Schizosaccharomyces pombe: one gene and its partner. Changing the gene in region 2 together with the main gene of any one other region gives a genetic interaction. Each region holds a gene or a part of one and is shown on either strand. Other genes may lie near its edges. The genes, in order: san1 and deg1.

The links.
Region 1: mutations in deg1 (region 2) and san1 together harm fitness more than expected from each alone (negative genetic interaction), as found in Schizosaccharomyces pombe (one large-scale study listed by BioGRID).

What each region holds. Positions count from the first base shown.
Region 1 is NC_003423.3:2,944,228-2,962,812, forward strand, and holds san1 (RING finger protein), read right to left. Parts: upstream 11,232-18,585; 5' UTR 10,815-11,231; coding exon 8,589-10,814; 3' UTR 8,368-8,588; downstream 1-8,367. Other genes in the region: top1 (DNA topoisomerase I), read right to left, coding at 1-140, 187-287, 341-353; HOPS/CORVET complex subunit, vacuolar sorting protein Vps33, read right to left, coding at 939-1,708, 1,760-2,032, 2,073-2,751, 2,797-2,853; SPOM_SPBC2A9.02 (NAD-dependent epimerase/dehydratase family protein), read left to right, coding at 4,421-5,308; SPOM_SPBC2A9.03 (WD repeat-containing protein), read left to right, coding at 6,933-6,969, 7,027-8,270; putative transport protein Tvp23, read right to left, coding at 12,242-12,677, 12,739-12,905; nus1 (ditrans,polycis-decaprenylcistransferase), read right to left, coding at 13,360-13,826, 13,894-14,203; hpz1 (zf-PARP type zinc finger protein Hpz1, implicated in DNA repair), read right to left, coding at 14,851-14,902, 14,945-15,553, 15,652-15,700, 15,792-15,822; SPOM_SPBC2A9.13 (uncharacterized protein), read left to right, coding at 16,262-16,298, 16,393-16,502; SPOM_SPBC2A9.14 (uncharacterized protein), read right to left, coding at 16,376-16,475, 16,583-16,683; SNARE protein Sec22, read right to left, coding at 17,441-17,745, 17,809-17,972, 18,038-18,182, 18,392-18,425.
Region 2 is NC_003424.3:4,158,768-4,164,707, reverse strand, and holds deg1 (tRNA-pseudouridine synthase), read right to left. Parts: upstream 1,990-5,940; 5' UTR 1,909-1,989; coding exon 556-1,908; 3' UTR 501-555; downstream 1-500. Other genes in the region: dia4 (serine--tRNA (Ser) ligase), read left to right, coding at 1-51, 109-430; splicing suppressor Mss51, read left to right, coding at 2,720-3,856; phosphatidylserine decarboxylase Psd2, read right to left, coding at 4,330-5,880.

The DNA of each region.
Region 1 (18,585 bases), on a different chromosome or scaffold from region 2:
CCCATTACTTTAGCTCTTTTTTTAGAGCTTGAATTGGACATATTTTTCTTTGAAGAAGCACGTCTCTTTCTAATCGGTATATCATCCTCATCACTCTCGGATTTGGATTTCTTATTCAACGATTCACTAAGAGGATGATTCTAAACAATTAGTCAACAATCTTTAATTATTATGTTGTGAACATACTTCAGAACTATCACTCTCTTCGTCCGACTCCTTCATACTAATCCGTTTAGATGAACCGCGTCTTTGCCTCCTTCTAATGGATAAAGACACGGAATCTGAATCTTTTCAGTTGTTAAAAATTTTGCAAATGTTGTTAAATTACGTGAAACCTTACCAGACGAAGACATTGTGAATTGTTTGCATACATCTATAATACAGTAAAAGAAGGATTAATATTGAGTACGTACACTCGTTGTCATGACAACCAAATATTGACAATTAATGTTTGTAAAAATTAGTAGCTAAATGAGAAACTGGAATTTTCAAATAAAATAAAATTTAATGTTACGAAGCTTGCAGCAAAAAGCTATAAATGTGCATATTTCAAAATAAACCCATTAACAGTACGAGAAAAGTAATCTCTAATAATTTTGAAAGCTTTAACTTTACATTTATTGTAAACAATACCAAAAGCCACTGAATATCCAAAACAAAAAAAAGGTGATTTGATTGATACAATAAGCCATTAGCTGCCAAATATTGGAGGTTTATTATTTAATATGTAAGCTAATATTTTGGCAGTAAATAGCAAATAGCTTAACAGCATATAGGGAAAGCTTTAATGCCACTTCAAATTCATAAACTACTAAGGACTTAATAAAGTGGGTTAATAAAAAAAACAATAATTAAAATTATGGGATTCTCTTAGTGAAAAAAAATGAGATTAAATATCGTCTTTAGCTGTTGAACAAATTAATGAAACTGGGTGATCATCACTCATTCAAAGATTCAATATTTGGAATAAAAGCTCTTATTAGAGAGCTTCCAGTTACCATTCCCGTAGTCATAAATGTGAATTCATATAAATCTTCTTTTTCTTGCAATAAACGAAATGCAGCCAGCTCTGTGTACGTGCAACCACCGATGAAAAAAACTAAAACACGACGTTTACCTGGTACGTTTGTCTTCAAATTTTTAGGCATGACCTTTTCCTGGTCTAATGTCCACTTGTCAACGTAAGTTCCAGGCATATTTTGCAACTTAAGAATTTTTTCTTCATTGTCTCTGCCTTTTAAAATGTCATATGCTATGTGGACTGACAAAGGACCGTACCCGCTGTACGTATAGGCTATATCTTCAGGATTCTGCTCATCAACTTCGTCCTTAACCAAAGGATAAGTGTTTAACCATGTAGAATAAGACAATGATTTTTGAAGTGAAATATTAGTGGATTGCCGGAGGCGCAATAGTCCTGCATCTATCAAGGCTTGGAATGTTAAAAGGTGATAATAACCATATGTTTGAGTGATTTCCCTACGGTAATGATCTATATCTTTTCTTCTCAAACCATTGGTAGTTATACTTGCAAGGCAAAGTACTCGAAAAACCTCTTCAACAGGTGCTTCGGCATAGATAATTTCATCTAATAAATTGAATTGAGTAAAAGAATCGGCATGAGAAACTAGCAAATGCTGAAGTTGTAGTAGCTTTTGAAAGTAATTATTTTTTGTGTGTTGCACCAAAGTTTCAGCGAGACCAGTGTCTATCTAATTAATAAAATTTTTTATGGAAATCAAAAGAAAAAAATACTTACGAATATTTAATGATGTATGCTCCGATTGTAAGGAACCCAGTTTGGAAACGAAGTCTCTAATCTGATTTACAGTTTTGGCTTGACGTCGACCTTCAAAATCGCTGGATAGTTTTCGAGCAATTTTGCTTAAATAAGGGCCTATGCAATTAAAATTTATGTCTCTAATTTCCTTGGTAATTTGGCTGGAAGAAGAACTTAAAGAAAACTTTTTCATCGGTCCAGTATTTGAAGCTTCATTTCGGTTAACCAAGGATGAAGGAAGTTTGACATTCACTAATCAGTTAGATAAATAATAAACAAATATGAATCATACTTTGCTGAATTCCAAGTATTTCGTCCAAAAATCCAAAGTAGGTAAGTTGAGTCAAAAACGGTGTAATACGATCTAATGATCGATCAACTAAAAGAACGCTATCGTAGAGAGCAGAAATCTCTCCTTCCACCTTCCCAAAGTTTATTGTTGCTTCTTCCTGGTATGTTTTTTCTAATAATTCCAACATTTTTGCAGCATAGGGGCCCCTCCCAGAGACTCGAGGAAACCGTCCATGAGTGCGTTCAAAATCAATTAAAGCATCTGTACTTCGTTGAAGTAAGCTTTCTTCCAATTTCTCTGGACCAAGTTCTAATGACAAAAGGTCCTTGTCCAAGGGTACGGCATGTAACGGCCATTCAGTCACAAGTAATTCTCCAAACACACCCTCCTCTTGCAGTACCGTCTCAAAGAGGATATTTGAGGTAGGCAAAACAATTACTGTGCTCTCAATGCGTAACATATCCCTTTGAAATTGACGAACATGAGTAGCAACTAGTTTGGCATTTTCATAAGTTGGTCTGCACAAGTAGATTGTCTTTTTCTCAATATCATTTGGAATATTTTCATTAAACCAATAAACCTGAGGTATTCCATGTTCTTGTAAAGTATTGGTAGTAACTATTTGACCTAAAATTCCTGACAGATCACGTTCCAAGAGCAAACTTTTTTTCCCAGTAACCTTTAACACATTATCATTAGCATGTCACTTTTCAAATCCACATACACTGTCTATTAAATCTAACAACTTAAATGTAGCTTTTTCTTTAACGTCTGTAGTCATCAAGCCATGAATTGAGTCCACCAACTCTTTAGGACGTCTGCAGTTAAATGGAGGTAGAGGGAAACACTAGAATGACACTTGATTTCACAAAGCAAAACCCTTAGATGTTAATATTACACAACGTAAATAAAATAGAAAAGAACGGAATGATTTTTCCAACAGTTATTGTTAACTTTAAAAGGTATTGCGACTTTAAAACATGTATAGTGAATTAAGAGCTTCTTGACATGCATCGCAATTGTATTTCACTAACAATACTTAATAAAATAAAAACTACTTTATTGATAAAATTAGGAAAATTTTTCATTTCGTTTTTAAGCTAAAAGGTTTTATAGTTTCAAACAAACTAGTTTCTTTTAATTTGCTATTTAAACTTGTTGACAAGGCAAACTGAAAGTAATGTTACAGCACCTAAGTTAGCAAAATCTATTTATTATTCCGTAACTATAGTGTGTGTTGAGTTATCTTGTTTAATTATTGAAGGAATTAACGATTACTACGATGTCATTTGAATAATGTAAAAAATTGTTTCGCCGAGATTTAGTTTTTCTGTAGCATCAGTAAGGTTATCAATGATTGCAAGATTTGTTCATGAACCATAGAGTTTAAAAAAAAAACAATTGAATTGTTTCGTTAACATGTATGTTTTTTGCGCTTGGTGAAAGCTGGCCAAAACACTGTTTTTAATGGTAACGTATATATAACAGAAGAGCTTATACCTCCCACTTGATGTATAGCTTGAGATAAGTAACGAAAACATTATAGCACACTTAATTTTAGCAGTAAATAGTCATATTACTGGAAATCTCATGCAGGAAATTTAGCGCGATCAGCCAGTCGGCTTTCAGGCAACAGAAAATCATCCATACCCATAGATCGCCAAGCGCCGGATGAGTCTATATCGAGCAAATCCAGCAGCACTCATTGTGCTAGATAGACCGTGGAAATGACCAGCAAACACATCTGATTTTATCGAGTATTCTCACCGTTCGTTATAATTCTTAGCGGATTCGTACTCTTTGTATTCATCGCAAAGAGCAAAGAGACCCTGACAGTAAAACCAAAGAAGAGTATAGAAAGAACGAGGCCGTCTATTACAGGTCCATGTTACTAAGGATTACAGATCGTAATATGCTAAAACGTGAGACAACATATATTTCTTCCAATGATCACCTTATACGATTAAATAAAATAGAATATAAATGACCGATCGTCAACAATAGGTTTTTTCATAACGTCCTAGGCGAGGAAACACCAGTTCCTGTTCGATCATTTGCAGCTAAATGCTCCAAGGCCTCATAAATACTATGGTTGGAGACCTAAGGAATCCAGTATTCTGCATGCTCACTTCTTTTTGTTAATTAATATATGCTTGCATCTTTTTTAAATCCTCCATTTGTTCGTTACTGATTAACAAGCTTAGTCATATAGGAAGAATAAACTGTCGCTCTTTTACGTCATGATCGCTTACCTGTGGTCTTTATATATCGTTTAATTTACTTTATACCAATGAGTATGTATTCGTACATAAGGAGGTGATCCGAGAACAGTATCTTCTTAAGCAATTATGCGTATATTTGTAACTGGTGCAGCTGGGTTTATTGGCTCTGAAATAGTGAGACAGCTTCTTGAAGCCGGACATGAAGTGGTTGGTCTGGTGCGCTCAGAAGAAAACGCGGCAAAACTCAGAGCTGCTGGAGGCACACCTTACATTGGTACACTTGAAGATTTGGATACACTGAAAAAAGGAGTAGCGCAATGTGATGGCGTTATTCACACGGCTTTCGTTCACGACTTTAGTATATATCAAGAGGCCTGTAAGCTTGACGCTCGTGTCATTGAAGCTATCGGCGAAGTCCTTAGAGGAACTGAGCGTCCTTTGATTACCACTTCTGTAACCGCTGTGCTTTCTTCCAACGGTAAGTTAGGCACCGAGATAAGTGAAGTTCCCCAACCACCAATTCCACGCCAATTAGGAGAGGTGACAACTCTTAAATTTGCATCTCAAGGAGTACGTGCTTCAATCCTTCGCCTTCCACCTACCGTTCATGGAGCAGGAGATCACGCATTTGTGCCCATGCTCATTAACGTGGCCAAAAATAAAGGTGTTTCTGCTTATATCGGTAATGGTATGAATTGTTGGCCTGCCGTTCATAGAACTGATGCTGCTAATTTGTTTGTATTAGCTCTAGAAAAAGAAACTGCTGGTTCCATTTATCATGCTGTTGCCGAAGAAGGTATTCCGATCAAAGAAATCGCAGGCATGATTGGCAAACGACTTGATATACCTGTCATCTCCGTATCTTCTGAAGAAGCCACCGAACATTTTGGATTTCTTTCCAGCTTTTTGTCTGTTGATAATCCAACTTCAAGTATTCTTACGCAGCAACGTTTAGGTTGGAAGCCTACGCATTCTACACTAATGACTGATTTGGCCAGTGATGCGTACTTTTAAGCTCAGATGGAAGAATAATGTCAACTCAATAATGATTGCTAAGTTCATTCGAAAGGAGGAGTTTGTGCCTTTATGCTTTTGTCAATATTGGAGCATTTTTGCTTGCAAAATATATTACTATATTTGTAGACAGAAGTCCTATATTGATTGATTGTTTAAACATCAATTTAGAGAATATGCTAATATTTGTGTTGGAGTTGCTTTACGTTTTGATTTGATTTTGGTTTATAGATGAATTATTATCCATTTGAAACATTACAGACGCGTGAATATACTAGGCCACTAATAAACTCTAGCCAAAAATGCGAGTTTCTCACTTTTTTTTTGAAAATTGTAAATCTTGCTCTTTTTGTTCGCTTTGCAAAATCCCACTTTTGATACTAATGGTGTTGTGTTGGCTATAAACGTGATTTGACAAATATTGATGACAATGAACCTTCAAATCCACAAAGTACAGTGAAAATTATAGTTGTCACTATGAGATAGGAAATTAATAGGAAAAGAAGCTCTGTAGTACCGAACTAACGTAAAACCCTTCGACCTCAAATACAGTGGTCGGACAGAAACTGCTGTTTTCGTCTAGTGTGCTCGTAGGCATAATATTGTTTATTAGAATTACTTTATTTGCTTTTTTTTATATATTTAAAAAGGTTATAGTAAAACGTTCTTCTGTAATTTCAAATTACGATTACCGACCTGTGGGAGGGCAATCTTTGTAATTGCTTCAAAAAGCTTTTGATTTATGAAAAACTATTTATCCTTTTTCCAAAAGGGACCAATTTAAATGCGAATTCTTGGGTGTTAGTTTTACAATAAGCAACAATAATATAAATTTTGAATGGAATGCTTTTAATTTGAGGTAACATTACTTAAAGACTAATCGTATGGATTAAATTAAGTCTGTTAACATCCTAGTCTTAATTTTATATAGAATGGTAAAACCAGAAAAGTAAAATCCTATAGAGAAACGAGCCCAGCCGATAGCAAACCAAGACATCTACCCTAAATCAGGATCGTTTTGGAAATTGATAGAGTTGCAATGTAGATTTAGATTGCAAGTGTTTCTCGTACATATTACTCAATGGAGACGTCCACCTTCGGCTTCGTGAATCAACTTCGTTCTCTATATTCTGAAGGATTTCATTCTCTTCAAAAAACCTTAAATAAATCCAAAATAATTAGCGAGCTTTTCTTTTCAGTGATGCTTCAGCATAATGGTTAATGTTTTGGCCGTACCTCTTTAAGTATGTATATTTGTTTAAATTCAAAACGATCAACATTGGTGATTTTTAAAACTTAGAAAGATCAATTGGAGGTTTTCGTCCATTGACAAACGAAATTGGCTTTGCAATTTTGGTTACGCCTCTGTTTATGATAATTTTATACCTTTGAGCTAAAGACCTCTTTATGCTTATTTTGTTTTCACTTAGGTTCATACGTATAAAATCTTTAAGATTAATTGCCGAAAATCGTTAGCGAAAGAGTCAATTGGTCCTTGCAACGTCGATTGTCCTTCTCTCATTTCTTCCATGAGGCGATCTTGTCCTTCTCTAATTTTTTATTTGATTTCCTTTTTGTTCTACAGCCATACAGATAATATTTATTTTAAATTAAATATTTCTATATGTCCAATGGAGAATTTATAGACCAGTATTTGCTTCGTAAGTAAATTAAACGTGCAGTCCGTTGGTTGCTCTGAAAGCTAATGCTAAAACTAGCTGAAAGTGGAGCTATACTTCAAGATTATCTAGATGATTATTTTTACACTTCTTGGTATACAGGAAACCGGAATTTAATTCAGTTAGACCACTATGGATTCCCCACTGCATCAAATTTTGAATTGAACCCAAAAAGCACCGATAATTGTGGGACAGTGGATTTTCAAGGAATTCCCTGGGGAAATAAAGCAATTGGTAAACGGAAAAACTTTCGTCTTTATCGATTACACACTTATAGCCTGTCTTGCAATCATTCAGACTGGTCACCCGAAGAGCTATCGCTAGATACTGTACAAGTCGCCGCTGAAGACTCGTTTTATGAATTTCAAAGATTTTTGAAAAATCCTAATTGCTTGCGGAATCATCACCATCTTTGCAAAAGCGTAAAGGTGGTTGGTGAGCATTCTGTCATTTATGTGAGCAATAACAGCATCAGAATGGAAAACACATTGCATGATAATTCTGTTCAAATCATTGACCTTAAGAATAATATCCTTCAGAAAAAAGCGATATCATGTTTGGATACTACAAATGCCGTAGGATGTCTGGGAACATTGTATGGACAATATTGTATTTTCAATTTTAAAAACGGAAGTTTTAGTACTCGTAAGCTTTCAGATGATTCGATTAATCATATTCAACTTTTTTCCGAAAAAAAATTCATCCTTGGCTGTAATGATGGTGCTGTTTATGTGGAAGATGTCCAGCGTACTAGCCCCATTCTTGTTTACAGGTGTTCAAATGCTGTTAACTGCGTCCAACTTTTTGATGAAACTCCATTAGCGCTTGTATGCACGGATTCGAAAGACGCCATGTTAATAGATATTAGATCAAATTCCGTTTCAGCCAAACTTCCCCATTCCGACTCTGTACTTACTGGTTCGTGGCATCCAAATGGAAATATTTTGGCTACTGGAGGACAAGATACAACGGCTAAAGTTTGGGACATACGTGCCCTTGGTAAGTCGTTTCGAAATCTAGGTAGCCAAATGAGTGCTGTGACGAATTTGTGCTTTTCTCCATTAGGTGAAAGCTTAGCTGTCACGGAACAAGCCGATTTTGTTCAACTTTTTGATACTAAATTATTTAATACATCCCAAGTTATTGACTTTTTTGGAGAAATCGCCGGAACCGCTTACTCATCTTCTGGCGACAGTTTATTTATTGGTGTAGACGATCCCATGTTGGGTGGCATTTTAGAATTTAGGAGACCTTTACAACATCCGCTATCTTTCATATTTTAATTCTTTAACTCATTGAGTCATTTAATCTTATAATAATAAATTCCTTGGTACCAAACAAAACTATTAATGAACGTTGAAAAAAATAATGAGATTTTTTGTAATAGTCAAATAATCATTTAGTTTATAGGAGAGCAAATAATATAGATGATAAGTATTGAGATATAAATAATACAAAAACAATAAAAATCTATATAGCATGAAATATTGATACTCTAAAGGGACATCACCAAATTTGTATTGAAGATTTAAAAAGGCATAATAAACAAACAACTATATTTTTCATGATAAAGATAACAAAAGAGTAAAAAAACACAAACATTACTTATGCTCTTCATTACGACATTTTGGGCATTCTCCAATTTCTTCGTCCATTTGATTTTCGGAGTTGCTAGTAGATTGCTGGCATCTTTCATGTACTGAATGACCGCATTCGAAGTGCACAAATCTATCATTAGGATCACAAATGCCTTGATCCTCAAGCTGACACTGAGGACGCGTTGAGCTAGGTCTGCTATACGGATGATGCCGATTTGATCGTCTAGCAATCGGAGCAGCCATTCGAGGAGTGCTAGTTCCCGACGAAACCTTGCTAGTATCACCGGCATCACTACCAACAACGTCCGACGGAGTGGATATCGCAGGCTGGTCTACCGCAACATTACTCAAGGTGTCTACAGCAATGGAAGAATGGGTAGGAGTTTGATTTCGTGATCCTGCAACTTCACTCGAGTTTTCGTATTCGCCAGGAATATTTATCTCATCGGAAGGTTGTCGCCCGGCAGTGTCAACATTAATGCTGCTTCCAGCAGCTGATTGCTGAGCAGGGGTGCTCGATTCACTTCTAGTTTGATTCATTCGATTCTCCATTTCTTCCTGAAACCTTTGCAAAATGCGCTGCCCCATTTCACTGAGATGGGTAATACCAGGACCTTGGAAAGAGCCATTGCTTGGAGGTCTACTTGAATCTTCCATCGTAGCATCTGTACTTCTAGTACCTTCCCTTGAAACCGCTTCAGAAGGAGTTTCCTGTTCGCTAACTGCAGGTTGTAAAGGCGGTCTCGACAAGTATATATGAATTACTGGATGAACAGCAGGGGAGGAACCATTATTTGGTGTATTTGTACCCATAGTTACAGCATTTTGCTGATTTAAATTCTGTAGATTGGGAACTGCGGACGTAGCGTTGCTGTTGGTGTCGTCAGTATTCTCTGGCAACGTTTGACCGTTTTCAGTCTGCGCATTGTGATCGGGATGGAAAATTCCATTTAAATTAAGCAGGTTATTATTACCGCTAGGACGGAACATAGACTCAAGAACAGCTGGTAAATCGGCTAATGAAGGAAGACCATGGAACGTCATTAACTGTGTAAAAGGCCTTTCAGATCGATTCGTATTTGCAGGGATATTTGTTTGGCTTCCAGGAAGCCATGAAGTTGATTCAGGCGAAGCCGTTGGAAGATTTAGCAAATTGGGAGGCTGTATTGAAGGTGACGGCTCAACTGGTCTAGCTGGAGCATTTTGAGAGGGCAAGTTACTAGTTGGCAAGTCTGTGGAAGTACTATTCGTCATACTACCAGAATTAGAGGTAAGATTCGAAGTCATAGGTTCATTAGAGGAAGGGCGATCAGGCATAGATGAAAAGAAAGCATTAAATAAGGACGTAAGCGTCGAAGGACGAGAATCCGAAGGAGTAGTCTCTTGTCTAGAGCTAGCATTTTCGGCATCAATAGAGGCACCTTCTCCTGCTAAGGGCTCACTACGAGTAGTAGGTGTTGAGGTGTTTGAGTCAGGGTTTTCAGGGTGAGTATTTTCAACAGGGGTATTGGTGGCAGATCGATTTGGAGCTAGAATAAAACGTATTCGGTTAAAAGCAATGCGATGCAGTTGCCGAGCTGGTTCGTCTACGCCGGTTCGACCATCAGTGTTTGCATTGTTAAGCTCCTCAGATGGATGAAAGTCGGAATGAACACCATTTGATGCATTTTCTTGAGAAACCGCGGTGTTGCCTTGGTTGCCACGAAGCGTATGTGAGTGTGGAATGATAAATAAAATAGGAGGATGAGCTGAACCTACTGTTTCGTGGGGAACCTCTTTTCTACAAAGAGGACATGTACAATGATTTTCAAGCCATTTTTGTAAACAATTTTTACCGAATATGTGGCCACATGGCATCTTGGTAGCCTGCTTTTCATCATTTTCATTCATATCATCGTAACAGATCGGACAAGTCAAATCCATCAGTTGGTCATTAGACAAAGGTTCGAAAGAATCCCAGGCTTCTTTTACAGCGCGTTTTACGGGTGGTTGAAAGGGATTGGCAAACGGATCATTTTCTCCACCCTCGAAATTGGCTTGAGGAGTTATGATAAACATTGTACCAATTGAAAAAGCAACTGGTTGAGTCCCCGTGGTAGGGTGGGTACCTTCTTCACCCTCAGTTGCTTCACTGTTTGGATTACGATTCAAATAGTCATCATGCCCTTCAGATGATTGTCTCTCGTTTGATGATGCATGAGAATTATTCTCATTTGTATTGGAATCCATTTAAAACAGATAATTGTAACAGGAGATTCTATACAAAAAACTAGTACCTCAGTGGTCTAATAATAAAACCAAAAAAAAGAAATAAAACGACCACAATAAAGTCGAATCTAAATAAATAAAGCAGTACTCAAAATAAAAACAACAAATAAGACAAAGGAAATATTTGTAGGAGACTTATTATATACAAAGGAGGAATATGGTAAAATATGATTGCTGCGGTAATAAAAAAACAGGAATCAAAAATTTAATGGTAAGGAAAATGTAACATTCTCCATCGGGGTTTTCTGGCCACTGAATATTTCAATATTTATTTAGGCAAGCAAAAAAAAAAGTAAATAGAAAATAAAAGACGTTATAGAATGTTATAAAGTGCACCTTTCCACTTAAACTATCTTTTAAGGTGCAAAATGTGGTGTTGAACAAAATAGAAAACCAGGGACTTCCATTATATATTGCCAATAGAGACAGTGAACATGTGGGCGTTCATTAGGACATTCAATACCTTAATATTTTTAAGGAGTTATAAAAGGTTCTCCTTATTTGATAGTTGGGAGGTTTGTTGACATAAAGCATATGAAAACCGAAATTCTGCGAATCGTGTAAGAAACCGCATATCCTTGAATTTATAATTGACATTTAAGCTAATGCTTTATATATGTACTAAAAAAATGATATGCTCTTTAGTAAAGGAATCATCTAAATACATATTTTGCCATTTAAAATATGTATATTAGAAACTAACAATTACATATTCTTTCCGCTTTTATTATGCTGTTATAAGAACTTCGTTTCAATATATGTTCATCACTAATAAGAAAGTATTAAATTTTAAGTTCACAGCAAACACACGCAGGAACATAGTTGTCGAAATAAAAAGTAGCACCAAACTTTGAAGTTTCGTTCATCGGTATCTTATTAAGCACTCCATGCGTAAATATTTGAAGTCTAACTAAGAATGTTATCAATGGAAAAATAAATGTAGTGGGTTTCAAAAGATCTCAGTTGGCCTTCATGAAACTTTGTGTGATAGTATTAACCATAAAAGAATGTATGAATAAAAGAACGTAATGTGCACCTAAAAATAACCATTGGGCTCTATTCAAATATTCAATCAGAAAAGAAGATATATGCTTGAAAGTAACAGTATGGGAGGTTATATAAACTCATACTAAAATACAGGATCCGTCATACAGTCTTTTGGCTTTTGTATTATAAAAATACGTAATCAGTTGATGCTTAAGGATTCAAATTGACGCTCTGTCATTTCAAAGTTGGGAAGTAAAAACACAATATCGTTCCAGCGCTTTCGTCAATTTAATTAACAAGCAAATCGTTAAGCCAGAATCCCATGAAATTAGCTTTTTCATATACAATGAGCTTAAAATGCAATGTAGTTCGAAAAATTATTTACAGAATTTGAAAGAGCTTTAACCAATAAATCTCTTGATAAAAGCCCTAGATAAAAATCTGGAAACAAATCCAGAAGAATTGGAATCTGCAAGTTCTGTAGCCCAACGACGCTTCGCGTCTTTGTCACAACGACTGTAAGCAGCGGTGTTAACACTTGTCAGTCCAATTGCGACAGCAACGAGTGCAAGCCAGAGAAATTCAAATCGAATTATAGCTACAATCCCCAATATGATCCAAATAAATGGATATAGATAGAGAGCGTACCAAAACGTCTTCTGATCAACGGCGTTTCTGGGACGACTGGGATCTGCCGATTCGAAAATCCAAATGCTTTCACCATCAACTCCAGTTTCATTTCTCCATCTCAAACCAACTAGTAAACGACCAGAGACGTTTTTAACAGTCCAAAGATCAACAGCTAGCAAAGTGAAAATTACAATAAACAACAACATACTATTTTTATTTGTTTAGCTCAATTTCTTTTTCTTTTAAATTTCTGCTATTAAAAACTTACAAACTTGAGGTAAAGAACATGCCCAATATGTATGCCACAATTGCACCGGTACGAAATAAAAGAAAGAAGAAAAGAGCTACAGGATGCGAAGACATTTGAAACATCTGCGGTAGCCTACTAGCATTCCTTTCCTGCTCGGCAATTGTCTCCGTATTTTGATAGTCCATTTTCGTCAACGTGATATGGTTATCAACGTAAAGGTTTCGATCCAAAGAGGTGAACATCTCAGCAGGGGTTTGACAGTATGCGAATAAGGAACCTTAACGAAGATTCTTATTGTGTAGCAAGCCTGGTTTTCTAAAAGATCGTATTCGAAAGTGAATGTTTAGTTGTTAATTTAAGTTTTATAATATTCTTCTAACGAAAATGTTTATTAAATTTTTTTAAAACTGTAATGCATATAATATCCAAAGTATGAATCTGACTGCCTGTCTGTTTAATTTTGTTAATGCCTATCATCTAAGCATTTGAAGTAAATTAAATTTTTCTGTAATACTGAATTCCTAATTTTATTAACAAAATCCAAAAAGCATTTTAGACAAGAAGTAACAAAAACCTCAAGAAGACAACTTGATAAATTTTTGGTAGCTTTTGGCTTTTCATATTTAAATTTATAAAACCTCAGTGCCCTAACCGCATTTCTGCATTCGAGTAATGAACAAGTGCTTTAAAGAATGTTAGGTAATTTGTTGTATATAAAATAGGATCATGAAATATTTCACATAATCTAAGCTGCCAAGGTGGAAATCCTTGCAACTTAAGCAGAGGAGCAAATATGATTAGTAAGTCTGGTTCAGGTATTACGCTCTCCTTCAATTCTTTATCAATCAATTCCAGTGTAACTTGGGTGCTACTGATAACTTTTTTAGTACATAAATCCGCTAAACCTCTAGTTAAATCGATGATAGCATCTCGACCATCTTCTTTCGCTATAAGATGAACCTTTAAATCGACACAGTCATTTTGATTTTTTTCATCAGGAGAGCAAGGATTAGTTACATGGACGGTACACTTGTCACCTCCAAGATAGAATGGCAGGTGAGAGTAAATAGCTTTTTCAACAGCTTCGGGAGATTGCTTTAAAAACCCTAAAATCTGTTAATAAATGTAATCAAATAGTAATGGAATTTCAAAACTTCAACTGCAATTATATACCTTTACGTTCATAAATCGTAAGTTCGCGAATATTAGAACAAACACACCAAGCAGATAATTCACAAGCATCATGAATAAGGCCCTCTATACCTCCATCTTCTACACACTCAATAATAACGGCGATGTGTTTTGGTTTCTTCTTTAATTTTTTCGTATCGCGTCTTATAAGATCTCTACTACAATGGTGATGATACAAAAAATTCAGTAAATAACTGCATGTCCAAAAAACCCAATTTTTTGCCCAATCCCAGGCACCATAAACGCTTTGTATAACCCATAAAGCTAAATAAAAGAAAATATCATCATACATGTTTGTGAACACTGGTTGTCAGAATTCGAACCTATTTAATTTAGGTTGAACTCTGTAGTTTTTTTATATTTAGGGGTATAAATTGGATTTTAAATATGAACAAACAAACTTTTTAAGTTTGAAACTTCCTAGGAACAATTTACAGCTATGAGAAGACAACTGGCGATGTTTATGAACTGCAGGCTGCAATGTTGGGTGGTGTGCTGAGGTACTTTGTGATACCAACACGAACAATGAAAGCTGCTCTTTCTGAAAAAATCGATGTATCGAAGTTTTATCTTTTTTTGTTATAGGGTATTTTTTAAAGTTAACTCTAGATAATTCGTACAAATGATATACAGTGTCTAGCCGTATGGAATCAATACCTTGTGTGGTAAGATAATTCACTATTTCAACAACTTCTTTAATAAGTGCGAATTGATAAGAGGATTAGAAATTATATTAACGGAGTTGTGATTCTGAGTATTTTTAAAGTTGCACCAAGGCGATAGAGTTTAATTTGTAAAATAATGAAAATGACATGGACTTTATTATTTCATAAAAGTATACAATTTAATTAGGATCGAAGGAAATTCCATGTAGATAAAGATTCTGCTGAAGTGTTAAAAAAAAACAAGAATAAAGCAGAAATGATTGAAAGCATGTTTTTAATCACTGTCAGAATATTCATTTCCGCTTTCTGCGTAATCCACTTTTCGCCTTTTACTTGTATTAGTAGTGCTGCCATATAATTTCACATACCTTGCAGACCGCCTAGGTCGCTGGGAAGCAATAGTGGAGACTCCTTCTGTTTCATCTTCACTATCCTTAACGACTAACTCATCATCGTCTTCTTCATCGCCAGACCATGGTTTTTCTTCCTCGTCTTTGTCAGATGCAACATCTTCTATCTCCTCATCATCTTCAAGTATTTCAATTTTTGGAGATGGAGATCGCTTCCTTTCGGCTTTATGTTTTTTGTTAGGGACCGATGACTTTTCAACACTTTTTCTCTTATGAGATTTTCTCAAATCTTGTATGGGCTCTTTCTCCTCTTCAGAAGTAAGTTCTCCTTCTTCAATCTTCCTGTCTTTTTCTTCAGAAGCGTCGGAAGCCATTTTTCTGCATCGTTCTTCATCTTCTTCATCAACATGACCTTGCTCAAAAGCGCGAAGGATTTTTTCTTGAACTATAGGATCGTTCAATTCATTAAATCCATCCAAACAATTCTTAATATCTCCTTCAAATTTTTTGTTTACATTGCGAAGAACACGTTCCGTAACACATCCCCAATGCCTCCATTTCCAGCTTTGGAATTTACCAACATCGACAAATGTTCCAAACCTTAGATCTCCTTTCCCTATTTTCGATCTAAAAATGGTTAACTGATGATAGTTCCTTTTATTTTTCGAATGCTGTGCATAATGATTTGGACAACTACATAAATTCTGGTAAATAGCTATATATACCTTCCGCAAACCGTTCCTTTGCATTCTGCTCTGCCAGTTTTTGCAAGTTCTGCAATCGTTAGAAATTGGATTTAATGTATAAATTATTAAAGCGAATCCATTGAAATGCTCGTAAATATACGTGTCATATTAACACATACCTACTCGATAACCAGCGCCAGATTCAGCCATAATTTGAAAAGCAGTAAAACACCAAAAAAACACTTAAATCCAAAAAAATATAACGCTGGATTATTAATTTAAGTAGGCATAAATCACTAAACACACAGCTTACAAATTTTGAAAGAAAACAAAAGCTGTGACCATGTGCTTTAGTAGTCTATGAGCGTGACACTTAAATCGGCAATCTAAATAACAAGATAAAGCAACCCCCTTACAATACCAGCCTCTTGTATACTACTTTTCAGCAAGACGAATAGGTAATTGGCAATTGTATACAAGATTCTGGTATTTAATAAATACATGTCAGCTACTCTTACAATAAGCCGTATTACGAACACAGGCATTTCATTTACCAAAGTAATTTATTGAATCCCTAAAGTCGTTAATGTGGAATATCGAGAATCATCCGGGTTTAAGCCATTACCCTACCAATCAGTATTAAGGAATTATGCAAGTTGTTGTAAACAATGCTGGTGATTTACAAAGTATGTTAGGAATTTTCGTTATTTAGGAAGAATGAAAGTCTTTTACATGTCGGGTCTTTCAGTTAATGTATGGCATGCTAAACTTTGTATACAGTTGTATATGAGATGAAATCGGCTGTAGTAAAGAGAGCAGAATTCCTGGGTGTGGGCGGTTGTACACGAACGATAGGTATCGATCTAAAGAAAGGAGTCAGCAACTTTTAATGTCCAACATACATACTAATAAGACAAAGGGAATAAAGGAAGAAAAGAAAAAGTAATAAAATTTGATTCTAAGTACTTACGAAGAGTGTTTTATTTTGAATATTTTCTTAACCCGATTTGGAAAGGTGGATGTAAAATGTCGTTTCCATGAGGATTTTTGAAGTGTTTCGTTTTCTGTCATTATATTATAGCACAATTTTTTTCATTAACAATAATTGTGCAATTACAAAAAAAGGAGTTGCTCACGAAAATCGTAATTAACAAATAGAATAATAAATGTACACGAGGATTCAATGGGAATTAATTAGAATACGACGTTAAAAGAGAGACAATAATTACTGCTAGAAGTTGATGAAAAGCAAGGCGTTCATTATATATAATAGTTGAGTGCTGGCTTACAACGTCAAAACAAACTTAAAAACTGGGGTATGGTGGCTGAAATAATATAAAAAATAATGTATAGCGGTAACAACACCTTGATTTTATTCGTTTATAGAGCTATAATTAAAACAGTAATAAAAATAAAAAGCTAAGGAGGGTTTATTAGAATATTTCCATAGCCATTCAGACACTCTCCTCTACACGGCATAGCGGTGCGATTCGATAAACCAGCTTAGTTATGGGAAAGGATGCACAAGGGATGGAAAACAAACACTTCAACTATACATATATGTTTATACAATATTTAGCTATGTTCAAACAGACTCAAGATAGATAGAGCAGATGTGAATCAAAGCAGGTTGCACAAATGTCAGCAAAGATGAATAAGGTAAAATAATTACTACAATAAACAAAACAAATGATGGGCAAACTTTTTGTTTCTATGTCTAATTATGGGATCCATTATTGAATTTCGTTTCTGGTTTGTAAATATTGAAGAAAAGGTCATTAAAGATTTCTTATTCCTAAACTTAAACGTCCGTAAATAGAATCGTGAATCAAGCGAAAAAACGCCAATAGACAAAAATCAGAAACAAAAGGGCAATAATCGAAACAGGGCCGTACTGCCTCCAAAGTGCTTCCAAGTTAACGCGACGAGCCGCTTTTTTGTACTTGGCACTAGAGTAACGCAAATCTGAACTGAGATCCGCCATTTTTTCTAAGGAATCACCTCGATACAGTAAATCTTCAATATTCTTGGTCATGACACGGGTTACATCTTTCAGCTCAGTGTTGAGTTTATCAAGGTTATCATTGGCACGCGGGGTATTATAAACTCTTTTTGATTTTTGCATAAAGGTGTCTAGAAATTGTTAGTTATTTCAATCGCAAAAAAAATAAGTTAAGTCAATAAATAAAGGCATACCAAATTGAACAAATGCATAAGGACGTAATCCAGGTTGTAATGCTTCTTCGCCGAAACTATTCCAAAACTCGCCTGCAAGTTCTTCCAGATACGAAAACGCTAATTTTCGAGGATACGACTGTTCGCAAATACATAAATAACATATTCCGTTGTCGATGAGATAACTAGACGTTTGGTTAGATCTAAAATTGAGATTCCGTTTGCTATTCGTATACACAATTAAACTTACTGAAATGTATAATCACCAGACTCAATAGAAGCCCTTTTTTCCGATGTAGGACTTAGTCTTTTAAGGATCAATTTGGCTTGTTTCTTATGGCTTTCCAAATTTCTTTCTGTTGATTCATCATCCACGCTAGCGGCAAGCGGAAGACCTTAAATTCATCAGTTAGTATTTATAAGTAATTTTCATTTGAACGGGTATTAGTTAAATAGAAAGCAAAAAAAAGCAAAAATGAGAATTGAGAATTGAGGCAATCACGAAATAATTTTAACATACAACTCTCATTTTACTCAACGAAGACCAGTCTTTATGGTTTCAGCAACAGAAAATTAACTAATCCCACTTTGTAGGTATACATACCATCAAGTCTAGTAACTGTGGTAGATTTTACCATATTGTACAATCGCGTGCTTTGGATACATTCAACGTACCCAAAGCGTTTACAACCTAGTCAAACGAACCTACGGTACCATCGATATCGATAATACCGTATTTAAGTATGCTTCGTTATACTACAATACTGAAGCAACATGTTTAGTTAATCGTTCCTATAA
Region 2 (5,940 bases):
GATTGTTAATTTTCAAAAAGAGTTTGTAGAAACTTTAAAAATACCCGCAAGGTACATATCAAATCTAACAAAAATACCACTTTAATGATCTAATGCTAACGAATATAGAATTTTGAATATGCCAACTGCGGAATTGGGATCTTCGGCCTCTCAAAAATATGACATCGAAGCGTGGATGCCAGCGCGACAATCATACGGGGAGATAACTTCAGCATCTAATTGTCTTGAATACCAAGCTAGGCGTCTACTCACACGATATCGAAATGACAAAGACTCGGGTTTTGTTCACACACTGAACGGCACAGCAGCTGCCATCCCTAGGTTAATAATAGCTATCCTTGAAAATCACCAACAAGAGGATGGCACTGTTAAAGTTCCGGAAACCCTTGTCCCTTACATACACAAGGAATACCTTTTTAAAGCAAAATAATTTTAGTACATCATAAGTCTTACTTACAACTAATTATTTAAGAAGGTTATACTAAAATTGATAATATATTTTGGACCAAAATAAAATTAGCAATTAACCTAAAACCTGTTCTGTCATAAGACAATCTATTTAATATTTTCACTCTTCACGTCACTGTCTTTTAAACCTTTTTTACGTTTATATCTTTCATTGACGACCTCCACTGATTCCTGACGTTGTCTAGAAAGAATTGGGATGTACTTTTTTGTTCGCTTCAGCAATCCTTCACCAACGTTCATAGTACTGCTTGACTCTTCCGATTTGCCATATCTTTTTACATTATGATCTGCTATGTCAAGCATAAACGAAGCTATCTGCTCTCGAATACGTAGACTATGCCACTGATGATATATGGTTTCATATGTATGTTTAGCGATACGAGGAGCAGTCGTAGGACTATCCGTAGGTAGTGTCCATTCAATATTATCAAAGTCACAGTCGTACAAAATCAAAGGATACTCACTTGCCATATCATAAATTGGCTTAGTAGGGACCTTTTTAATATCCAAAAGATCATTGATGAGAGAGGCCGGCTCAAGCTTTTGACCAATTAAAAATAGAATGGCCATCATACATCGTACCTGATGCCATAAAAATGCAGTTCCTTGTAGGTCAAAAGCGTAAAGACCGGTACTGGGATCAATGCAAATAACCTTTGAACTGAGAATTCGACGGTGATAATTTGTAATTTGTTTAGAAGCATCTATTTTGCAAAAATTTCGAAAGTCATGCTCACCTAGATAAAGTGCTGCGGCTTCATTCATTCGATCAATGTCAAGAGAACCACCGGGATAATCCTTAGTAAACAAGTATTTATAATGACGCTGTTTACAGGAAAATCGAGCATCAAAGCCTTCTGGTGGAAATGCATAGCCAGTAATACGTATATCTGCGGGCAACAGGCGATTCAATACATCACAATATATGATAGGTCTTCTTTCTGAATGTCGTACATTTAATGATATAACCTGACCCATGGCTGAAACTCCCTTATCAGTACGTCCACATCGACTAAAGGAACATGATGAAGGATCAGTGATGAGATGAGCTCTCAACAGCGCTTCAAACACCTTTCCTTCAACAGTGGGCAAAGGAGTCGGTTCTAACTGGTAGGCAAGACCATTGTAATTCCAACCACAATAGGCAAATTTAAAAGCAACAAAAACTGTTTTTTCTAGTTGAAACGGTCTGACAGGTTTCAGTTTTGGAAGACTACTTGCGTCCTGAAGCGCATGTTGCAAAACTAGTTCTTGGCTCAGATGCTGGGGTTCTATTTCATTTCCATTATCCAATTTGTTTTTATTTTTAATTACTTCATTTTTCCCCTCAATTTCTTTATTGGGAAGTGAATTTGTATTTTTTTGCAATTTCCCGTCCAATTCTAAAATTCTGGATATTAGCTGGTCTCGAGACCATCCAGCATATTTGGAGGCGGGCATTCGAAGGATTTTAGAAAATTGAAAAATCTTGCCTGAATTATATTGCCAATTTAATTACTGCCTTTGACGAGGTCAGGTGGCAGACGAATAGGTTCGCAAGGCTCTGATAATTAATGACTTGCTTGTCATAAGAGGCAGACATTTTCGCAGTAAAGTTATAAATCATCTATGTAACATTGAGAATTTATCAGATATATTTTTAGTTGCTCATTAGTACAACAGCTTTGGGATTCTGTATGGTCAGTTTGCAGTCTTGTTGGGCCAGCTGGAACTGTTACTAAAATATTGAGTTCACTTTACATTACGAGCAATGAAAATTATAGAAGCTTAGATTAACACAGCTACTTTCGAGATGATTCGTATTCCTTATAGTTGCATTGTAGACTTCCAATAAAGAAAGTGCATTTCCCGTTATGCAATTGATTTACTAGATAGTTCTTTAATATCAACATTATTGAAAATCACCTCTTTGTTGAGTCAACTCAATACTTAATATTTTTTTAAAGAATAAAATTCGCTACTGAATGTCGGTTGCTAATGAACAAAGCAATTGCTTCTACGAACTAATTTGTTAATTTTTTTTACTAAGCATTTCAATAGTTTGCCTTGTTAACGTATTTTTTATGTTCCTTGACATTTTTAATTTTAGTTTCTTCGTCTGCTACTAAACACGTTCACCTAAATCAATACTTGTTAAATTTAGCTGCAACACCGACATAAAAATTTATTTCATTACCTATAGTTACATTGAAACCGGTAGAAGGTTGTTTTTTGGTTCAAGAGTGACGTTTCGCTTATATTTTTTTTACTTATGTCGTTTTTAAAAAATCTCTTCAAGAAGAAATCCCCAACTCATGAATTATTCCATCCTTTATCGCGTTCTCCCTTAACGGCTCTTCGCCGTCGCTCTGAGCATATCAAACAAGTCTATCGGTGTCCAATTTCGGGAAAGTCAGTGGAATATGAGTGTCCTGAATCTGGATTTCCTACTCATTGTAATAGAACTCATTGGGAACAGGACAAGATTCACCAATCCCTTATCCCAAAACTACGCCAAATTAATGAAGACTATCATGACTTAGCACGACCAAACCCTTTGCCGGAACTACTCAAACTTCCTGGACCCATGGAAGAAGATGAAGTAGTTTCTCTTCTGTCATGGGATTCATTCTTCTATACCCGCGATTTCCCAAAGTTCCAATCGTCTAGAACTGCTAGACATATTACTAGTTTATTAACATATCCCATGTCAATCGGCGCTATCCTTCACAAGAATTCTCCTTATAATTTAAAAAATGGGTTAACTCCCCAGGGTCTACAATCATTAACTGCTCTACGATATATGCTTCATCGTCCTTTGTCTGCTCAATCTACTGATCCCAGACCCACTAGAATTTTCGTTTTGGGTGCTACCAAAGAATGTTCATTACCACCATCAATTTGGTTACAAGGATTGAACTTTTTGTTCCCAGGTCGTTTATTTCAATTGCATTTTATCGGACCTGAAGTTGTTGTTCCTTCTAAGCAACCCAATTTGCCTTCCCCACTCAGCCTTCATTTTCATCAGGATTACTACCACAATTTGCATAGAGTTGGAGCCTTTGAGCCTTTTGACCCCTACTATGATACTTTTTTTCTTCCGATGCCTCTTATAAGTCATCCACTTTATTCTTCATCGTGGATTCCGACACTTCACGATTTGGTATCGACTCGTTGCTCTGTATGGCTCACAAGTCCTTCATCTCAAAGAACAACCAAAGATTTGGAAGTTCTTAATAATGTTTTGAAAGATTCAATTGAGCCCTTGTTATTGCCAACTGTTAATAAATTTGCCAGCTTAGGCTGGTCTGTTGATGATTCAAACCTTCATGAAGTTTATCACGCAAATCAAGAAGTATTTGGATTCAGAGCCCTTTATTATAATGTCCAAAATGTTTCCAAAGAGTAATTCTTGTCCGTTAAGTCGTCTACCATCTTCCAATTTCATATTCTAATCTAAAAGCAATCTATTAATGAATTTTAAGGTCCAAATTTTGGATTGTGAATAAACAAAATATTAGTATATATGTAATGATTATCAATTACGAATTTTGAAAAGAAGACATGCCACCTTATGTCAAAACAAGCTAACCATACTTATTTTTAAACATTTTCATTACTACTTTAAAGGTGTATCAATAAAATAAATTTATTGGGTGTCAATTCTTTAAATTGGAATGTAATTAAGTAAATAGTAACTATAATTATGGGTTTATAAACGCAATATCAATTTAAATAAAAAGAAGATCAAAAGCAAATGGGTTAATTTAATTAATTCATCACATACAAATGATTATTTAGAATACACACATTCTCATACTAACAATAACTTATATCAGGGATAATCCAGCGATTAATAAAAATTATCCCGATTTATCCTGTTTAGAGGGCCTCTCCAACACGAACATATTGGCCTTGATAAGTGGAAAACTCAAAGTCGGCAGGTGCTTCGAATACCAAAACAACGGTACTTCCGAGTTGAAACCCACCAACTTGTTCGCCACGACTAACTGGCATACCGTCTAAAACAGGAGAAGCGTTCTTGTAAACTGCTTCTTGAAACGTACCTAATGACTTCTTCCGTAAGACGAGGCGATTGGTAGATAAAGTAGGATCACAATTAATGACAATGCTACCCACATTGGTTGCACCTACAGGAATCATACTCATAAATCCATGTTCGTAACGACCCAATAATGCTACGCGTTCATTCAACACAAAAAGGTTGTGTAGTCTTCGCGCCAAAAATGGAGAAACACTAAAGAGTTCACCTGAAAAGTGACGCCTAGATTCAATAACCCAATCAGCAGGAGAGTGAAATCTATGATAGTCACCTGGTGCTAAGTAAATCACAGAGTAAAACAGCTTATTGCCAGGACGGATATTGTGCCAAGGTAATGAGTCAATGTCCGTAACGTCAGCTTCTTGTACCCAATCATCCCAGTTAGTTGGTTCGTGTTCAAGAATTGAAGCAGGAGCAGATTCAAAATCACTAGATGACTCACTCCTCAAGTCATCGTCACCTCCAAGGTTATTCAGATCGAAATTGCTTGAGGGAGAGAGTCGTTTTCCGCATGAGCTACGAACGGAATTTGAAATATCTTCAAAGGCAGAAAAGGGACAGAAATAATTTAAGGAATTACGAGAGTCATTAAGATAAAAATGCGGATGGTCAGTAAAAGCACAAAGAAGTGCTTCCTCGTCAGAATGTTCATCCACAACGGCAGCTGAAGCATCAGCTTTACGATAGCGGTTATTAGAATTTAAGGAAATTGAGTGTTGTTCAGCAAATTGCTCGTGCTTTTGAATAAGATCAGGAGTTATTTCATCCTCAAAGTTGACGACTAAAGGATTCGAACTTGATATACCTCCTAAAAGAGCTTCAAGAGAGTAAGAAAGACCTTTGACATGCTGAATTCGATTATTATCGACAACTCCCTGACAAACGATACGGCCATCTACCGGTGATACGACAGGAGAAACAGGATCAACGGGTCTAGTCTCTGGACGAAGCTCACGGCAAAAGAAATCTTGAAAATTACGGTAATGAGTCAAATCAGGATCCTTCAATTCGCTTAAATTGCATCCAAAAACCCAAGCATATAGTTTAAATCCGGGTGTACGCAAAAAAGTAGGTAAATGAGCTCTGTTAAATTGTCCCCAGACACGAGAAAGGCTCCTTAATGGAAGAGAGCTTAATAAATATACCTGCCAGGAACCATTAGGACGGACACTTATAGAAAGGCGCCCCAAGCGGCGACTCCTGCGAATGCGATGGATACGATTTGAGATCCATTTTAATCTCATGGAAACGCGTACGTTCATTCCATTTAGGGCCTTAACACCTTTCAAAGCGCCGACACCACCGAAGCCTCGAAGGTTAACTTTTGACCAACGAGGATGAAAACGACGAAATCTTTGACGAGGACGCATGTTTGATCGGTATAAATTTCCTTAGTTAGGTATGCTAAATCTAAAATTGAAAACTTGTAA